Linked DNA regions of Lepisosteus oculatus. The protein of the gene in region 1 interacts with the protein of each later gene in a pairwise test. Links are inferred from orthologs where the notes say so. Each region holds a gene or a part of one and is shown on either strand. Other genes may lie near its edges. The genes, in order: trip10a and abl2.

What was found.
Region 2: the proteins of trip10a (region 1) and abl2 interact in binary tests that used the Homo sapiens proteins (3 or more experiments, as listed by UniProt). The link is inferred for Lepisosteus oculatus from reciprocal best matches to the Homo sapiens genes TRIP10 and ABL2.

Annotation. Positions count from the first base shown.
Region 1 is NC_090706.1:15,205,158-15,209,075, forward strand, and holds the start of trip10a (cdc42-interacting protein 4 homolog), read right to left. Parts: upstream 2,317-3,918; 5' UTR 2,004-2,316; coding exon 1,980-2,003; intron 1-1,979. UniProt on the Homo sapiens protein: Required for translocation of GLUT4 to the plasma membrane in response to insulin signaling. Required to coordinate membrane tubulation with reorganization of the actin cytoskeleton during endocytosis.
Region 2 is NC_090704.1:29,004,985-29,008,902, reverse strand, and holds the start of abl2 (tyrosine-protein kinase ABL2), read right to left. Parts: upstream 2,951-3,918; 5' UTR 2,648-2,950; coding exon 2,440-2,647; intron 1-2,439. UniProt on the Homo sapiens protein: Non-receptor tyrosine-protein kinase that plays an ABL1-overlapping role in key processes linked to cell growth and survival such as cytoskeleton remodeling in response to extracellular stimuli, cell motility and adhesion and receptor endocytosis.

The DNA.
Region 1 (3,918 bases):
CTTTGACCCCTGACCTGTTTGTGTGTGGGGGGGGGGGGAGTGGTGCTGGCGGGTTGAGGTTGCTCTATATTCGACAAGCTGCCCCAGTGTGAACTTCACCAGCCCTTCACAGCCGATTGGCACTGTTGATGCTCCCTTCGATGAAAATGACCTGCGATTATAGAGAGCATTCCAACCCAAAGAGCGTCCCGAGGAAGGAGTGATGCACTTTACCTCTCACTGGACTGACAGGGGAGGCGAGTGAGGAACTGTTCCACCAGCTGCATTAAGCAGGAACTTTTGAGAGGCCAAACTATTCAAGCCCAGAGTGCTGGAATTTATCCAGGGCATGGGGGGGGGGGGTCCTTGAGCCAGTTTTTTTTAACTTTTACTCTACTTATTTGCAAAGAGCGCCCTGGGATCTTTAATGACCAAGTTGGCGGGACTTTGGTTTCACGTCCTACAGCACAGCGTCTCCAGCCAGGATACTGAGGGCACTGGTGTGGGAACTGTGGTCCAGTCTCTCTCCAGACACTTCAGACCCCAATCGCCACTGCCGCCTTTTAGGACCTGACCCTTGAAGCCAGGCGAGAGAATAAGCCCAGTGGTTCGGAGGAGAGGTAACAGTCCGTGGAGACAAAACGAGAAACCGCGACATCCAGGGTGAAGCCGGGCGCGCAGTTGGGCATCACGTACGGCGCAAGGCACGAACAAGGGAAATGACTGGGAGTCGCCGTTTCCTCTCCGGCACAGCAGGAGTAGTAGTAATAATAACAATAACAGGGATCCGATGTCGGAAACGGGCCGAAAAAGACAATTTTATTAACCTCGCAACACGGAGCCCAACGAGGGCCAATTAACAGGCCAAACCCAGACCGCCCGCAGGGGTAAAAAAAAAAACGTGACACGTCCGAAAAACTTCACCCAGCAAGACGTCTGACGACTGCTCGGAAGTAAAACTCCCACAACTTTTACATAATGTACCATGTCACAGACCTTAGTGACAAAACATGCTGCTGTCGGGACACTCACGCCGCCTTGCAAGAGGAGACTTATTCGGCCCAGCGGTAGTGCGACTTAATTAGAGGGTGACGGTCTAAGAAGACCCTGCGCTGTGTCGCGTTTGTAACCACTGATCGGGGCTGCAGCTCGTCACGGGGGACGCGTCTGCCCTGCAGGCTACTACATCACGACAAGCCCACATCCACGCAGCGCGCAGGATGCGGCGGACTTGGACTCGCCGCGCATTTAAAAATATCTAGCAAATTACAAGGCGAGCCCCGGGTAGCCGCAATACGTGTTCTGTTCAATATGTGGCCTGAAAGGTTGTGTGTTTTTTTTCTCTTCTACAGTTACAGTTTCTGCGTGCGTATGATCGTACAGATTCGATCCCATCTAAAATAGGATCGGCTTTATTGAACGATTAAAAAAAAAATCACGGTCAGCTGTTTTGTGTTTGCAGGGCAGGCAACGGCAGCACCCACGCCGACCCTTTATAATAAAGAGCACGTTTTACTGACCACGTTAAGAGCCAACGTTAACTTTTTAACATGTTGACCTATTTTGCGCCAAAGACAGAAGAGACGAGCAGCAACCTAGCCTACAATTAAGTACCCCACTGACCCAAAAAAAACTTCCCTAACAAACACAAAAGCGGACACTGTTTAAGGTTAAGGTAACCTTAATTGATTGAGGTAACTCCCATCAACTTGATGGGGTGTATCCGGGCCAACAAGAACAACAAAAGATTTGGAGGTTGTTGTTTTTTTTTCAGTTGAACGACTTTATAAAAGTCTTTTGGACAAGGCTCGCCAATTTAGCCAGCAGAGCATGAAAAATCAAAACGAAATCCGCCTTTCTAGTCAAAAGAGCTGCGCGTGTGTTGTGTTGTGTTGTGCTGGGGTGGGGGGGGCGGTTAAACTTCAAAGAAAAGAAAAAAAATATGCATCTCATTTCAACTCCAGTACAAAAGTAAAAAATAGCAAGAGGATTAAACTTACCCAAAGGTCCGTGCCCCAGTCCATCGCGACAACGCCTGGGAGTTTGCAGGAGTCCAGAAGTGTCACGACCCGCCGCACAGTATATCCCGAAGAGACGATATATGAGCGCTACAAAACCGAGAGATCGATGGATAAACTCTTCCCTGATTAAGCGACATCAAACATTTTTTCCCTTCGCTCTTGCGCCTCGTCTCGCAGTCGCAAAGCGAGGTGGGATGTTCCAGCCCTCGTATCCGCGTCACTCCCAGATCCTCAATCCTTAAAGGGGCCGGGCAGTAATTCCTGCTCGGCGCAAGGCGACCCCGTGTTGACTCGGCGGTGCGCTCTGCTGCCGCGCCTATCAGCTACAGACCAGGGGCTGGAGCCGTTTCCTATCGCTGTTGCCGTGTTTCGATTAACGCGCAAAAACTGGAAAAAGTTATCACTCTGCTTTTAATAACAGTGAACAAAAATACGATTAAGGAAAGTCGTATTATTAAACGAAAGAGTAAAAATAACTCTTTATACCTTATTTTTGTACCCTTTCGTTTAATAACAAGACGTTTCACACACAAACACTTCGGTATTATTGTGTTAATATACGATTCTACTCTCTTTTGTGCGTTTTAATTTAGGGATAGATGAGCCTCTTATTTCATTGTATACGCTGGCTCAAGCGATTCCGTGCTTCCGGTGGGAAACGTGAGTTTCCTCACGAGTAACAGCAAATACCGAAGTGCTTGTGTGTGAGACGTCTTATCTGCTTTGGGCGCACAGAGATTAGGTGGGACAGTCGAGCTCCCGGGATTGTAGAAGACGGATTTGAGTTTGAGCCACCTGGAGAGGTACGATAGGAGCTTCACCACAGCTCCGCCTAGCGGTGGCGCGGAATACGACACCACGAACCTGAGCTGGAGCCTGCTTTAAAAACGCGATTGAAAGAAGGTAAATGCGATCATAATAATCCACAGGAACAATGAAGGGGACATTATTCAATTAAGACTCACAACAACAATTACCATCCACAGAGCCTGTCGTGCGTTTGTCAAGGTGGCCATCCCTCGTGTGAAATCCGATTTGGTTGGCGGCGACACGACATACATAGCAGATTACAAACTAACAGCTATCAGAAAACTGATGTGTTTTGATACAGACGAGATGAATGCTTCTTTACAACGAGGGTGGTGAGTGTCTGGAACAACCCGCTCGGCGGTATTATATATGATGAGTAAACAATTATGAATCTGCCGGCTGAGACACTCTGATCAATAAATTACAAGCAACCAAAGAAGAAGGGTGACTGGAAATATACTGAATATCTTCATAGAATGTAAATACGCGATAATTCTGTGTGTTTTAAAGTTTTTTCGTCAATTTTTCTAATTTGTAAACTATTCAAACTTTAATGTTCTGTGAAGTACGAAGCACTGTGAATCTGGGATGTGCGTGATGTGCAGAAAGCTCCATCTTGCGGCAAAAAGTGGAAATTACACTTCCAACACGCTACTGTGCAAGAAGGTCAGACAAATGTCCTCCTGCCCTCGTTATCAACAACACTTCTTCAGTTCACTTGCACAGTTTGTGCATTCGCCCAAAATAGCCCTGAGATGCAAACCTTTCATGCATTTAGTGAAGACATTTTCCTGTACACCCCACTCTTCGACTCACTGTCAAAAGCAATTTTAGCTCATATGCGGAACTGATGTGCACCTTAAAGGCAAGTGATTTTAAATTTTTGAATGCATGTCGTCTCCCAACCTGAAAACCAATGTGAAAAATGCATTCATGAGGATTTTTTTCGAAACCACGCTGAAAATTAAACCAATAAAAACACCAATTGCTAAGTGACAGAGTTACGTCTTTATTATTGACTGGAAGCAGGACGAAAGCACTGTTCACTGCAGAAGAATGCGGATGGAGTTGAAGAGGATTTGGAAAAGCAGTGGTGCGCTCGAGGGTA
Region 2 (3,918 bases), on another chromosome or scaffold:
TAAAGTCATGAGTCATTATTGGAAGAAAAGGGAATGTTTACAACTGAAAGCAAATTAGATGAAGGATGAATATATCCCAAATGTTAACACCATTAGTACTGTCTATGCAGTATTTACCCAGAAATGTTATGCTTGTGTTTGGTGAAAAATCTTTCTTTTCTGTGACAGTCAACGCCTCGCACAGCGACCACTGCCATATGAGAGAGAACATTCTAATATTCTCCTGAGTATGTCCACATTCTGAACCCTGAGCTCGAGTGTTTTTCAGATGTTTTAACAGTCCTTTTAACTTACATTCACAACTACATTGTAGCAGCACTTTAAACACTTTTAGCACCTTGTAGCAGGGGGTGCTCACCCTGTGGTCCACGTGGGCCCTAATGCCCCAGTATAGTGACGGGGACACTAGACTGTAAACAGGCGCCGTCCTTCGGATGAGACGTAAAACCGAGGTCCTGACTCTCTGTGGTCATTACAAATCCCAGGGTTTTTCTCGAAAAGTGTAGGGGTGTAACCCTGGCGTCCTGGCCAAATTTCCCATTGGCCCTCCCAATCATGGCCTCCTAATAATCCCCATCTATGAATTGGTTTCATTACTCTGCTCTCCTCCCCACTGATAGCTGATGTGTGGTGAGCGTTCTGGTGCACTGTGGCTGCCGTCGCATCTTCCAGGTGGATGCTGCACATTGGTGGTGGTGGAGGGGAGTCCCCATTACCTGTAAAGCGCTTTGAGTGGAGTGTCCAGAAAAGCGCTATATAAGTGTAAGCAATTATTCATTATTATTATTATTACCATTATCATCATCATTAAATCTTGGAGCTGGCTGGGACAAGAAAGGCCACCAAGCAATGAAAGTTCTTGCGAGTGTTAAAGAAAAAGGACTAACTCAGCGTTGTTACATTCAGGAATTAATGACAATGACAGTTACCAAAAGGATAGCACTCAAGCACTTGGAACAGACTGGGATGTTTGTTCTGGTTCTGCTCAGTCAGATCAACCATCAACGGAGCCGTCTCCTTCGCTGCTCTAAAAGTGGATGTCTCTCAAATCAATGAGCAAAATCGGAGTGCGCTCAGCTGTCTTAAACGTGGAGAAAAATTGTCAGCCAAACATTCAGAAGGGAAAAACCACTTGTAAAGGACGTGTCTTTACTTCGGCAGTGCAGAAAGAAGTATTGGATTCACCTGTGGCTTATTGTTCAGAGAGCTTTTCTAAGTACAATGATCACGTTTTAGTACTCAGCGACGAAAAAAAACACGCCCTCGTCTCAAATGTTTTCAACGCCGGGAACATGTCCTTGGTGTAGATTTTCTTTACAAGCCCACGAAATTATACTTTGGTACAGCATAAACAAGAGTAACGAAGAAGGCTTTTGAGCAGGCTTCCAATACGAGTCAGCCACTGCATCCCAGCCCTTAAGATCATTATTAAACAAGCGGCAGTGTATTGACAAAGGGAATGAACTGACACTTCGAGGCGCAGCTGTTGGGCAATGAAGGAGGCTCTTCATCGAGTACAGAATATACAGTTTTCAGCCCAATTTCCGTCAGACGCTAAATGCACTTAGGATGATTCACACAGGCTCGATGGCACTCATTGCACCTAATCTCTAACGACGGAGTGACTCGCTTTTCTCTCCACTACTGTACGCGCTGGGAAATCCTGAACACTGATTGCTCTATATTAAAACAAGTGACGCTTCTTGCATTGAGAGAATGGCTGCAGTTCGGAGTTACTGCTTTTAGTGTGACCCCGCCTGAATGCAAAGTCAAATAGCTAAAGCCAAACAGATGAAAGACCCTTAACAGAAAGTTCCAGTTTATTCAATCCGTCTATTGTTCATAAATATTCTCGGACGTATTATTTAATTAGGAAGCTCCGTATGATGATTGCTTTAGTGAAGCATACATCCTCAGTCACGACATTGTGAACAGTTTCCAGTTGAGAAGTCTACACCATTAGGGGAGCTGATATGTAATGGAGAACGGGCTCAGTTTTAATGCAATCTATATGTATTTGCAAAAGGAATGACAGTTAAATTCGACCAGCTGAGAGGTTAGCTAGTTTAAAGATAAGCTAAGGGAATGCATTACAATATACTTAAAACCTCATGAAGAGATCTTGCCTAAAAAACTCAACTTTGGCGTCTAGAATTAGACCGGGCTGTCACGTCGGTGTAGGAAAACTGGTTTCAAAGACATTTTCTCTCACTACCTGCTGTAGTGGCTCTCTCTAAACACTTAACTCGCCTGTATAGTCTTTTTTTAATGCATCGCGACTGAACATTTTTCACAAAGAAACACTAGCGATTTGAGGCGTTTGGGTAGTAATAGCTTACCACATCTGAAAACCGCCTTGACAAAACATCTGAATAACAGCAAAGGTATTCTTTCGCATGCATTTCTGAGGCGTTTTCTACCGCCCTCTAATAACCTTACCTGAATGCTGTGTGAAAATATTGATTCCCGGATCCGGTGTGCTGACAGCGGTAGTCCTACCAGGCGGGGTCCCTGTGGTAGCGGTCTCCCGTGGTCTCCTCCCGACGCCGCTTCCTCTACTCGCCCTTACCAGATGGTGCTGTTGAGACTGCGGCTGCTGGGGTCCGGTCGAGGATCCCTCCCCGACGCGGCCTACCTGTTGTCCCATATCCCCAGACCTCGGTAGCGCTCTTCCACGGGACGTAACCCACCCCCTTCCCGGTTCACATCCCACAGGAACGGAGCGGCCTGTTCCTTATTCTCTTCTTCCAGCCTCCCCGAAAGTATATAAGAAATCCTTTCACCCAGCAACCCAGGTACAGTCAGCAGATTTCCCGGAGCCGTTCGTTTCCCTCGCCCCAGTTTTCTTGCTCCTTCAGGGACGCTCCGTCTTCCTCCGGCCACTACGCGCCCCCTCTGCAGCCGCCATCTTTACCGCAGAACAGCGTTCACTTTTGCAGGGGGACTTCAGTCACCAGCTCCCGTCTGGAAAATCCAAGACCTCCAAGCCGCTAGGTGGAAAAGGAAAAAGAACACACACTCCTAAGTGGGCGTTGTTTGATAGTAACCGGATGCTAAGAAATCTTAAATTGTTTTTGTATTGATTCAATGGGTTCTGTGAATCGTACTCCAAAGTGGGCAAAATAGTTTAAGTACCATGATGAAATATGAATGCTCACCGTTTTACATAGGAACTATTTCTGAGTGCTTATGGTTTCATGACACTAAAGGCAATGCTTTACTTAACCATAGTTGTATAAGAATTTATTGACGAGCTGTGAACACAGGAATATTAATATGCCTTTTAATACACCTTATAAAATGACACCACTGATTCATGGAGACAAAGTGACATGGCAAAGACAGAAAAGTGTATTTGAGCAGAATACTATTGAGTTACCTATAGAAATCCAAACACTTCCCCCCCCAAATAAAGTATTTTATATAGCACCTTTAAAGGTGGCTTCTCAAAGCACTTTACAGAATGACAAATAAAAAAAAAAATACAAGATAAAACACAATTACAATATACAGAGGAGATGATGGATGGGAAATGAGGAAAGTGAATTTTCTATTGGAAGCCATAAAATCAATTTCCAACATGCTTTTGCAAGTTGTTGCAAAACTACTCTAATCTTTCTACAGCTGGAGATCAAGGTTTTGCTTGCTAGACTCCCGTGCAGGAAAAAGGGAGAAGTATAGCTTTGGATGCTAACTTAAGGTTTAAGGGCTCTTTATATAGACAAACTTACACAGGGTTTAAGTAAGCTAAGGAACATTAAGTGCTTTATAGGGAAAATGTGCACTTGCATTAAACTATAAATATGCCTCCCCTTTATAAATCCAGGAGTTCCTAATTAACTACATGCTTCTCATCTTGGCACCTAGACAGGTGAGTAGAGGGACACAGCCTGACTCCTTACTTATTTGGGTGAAAAG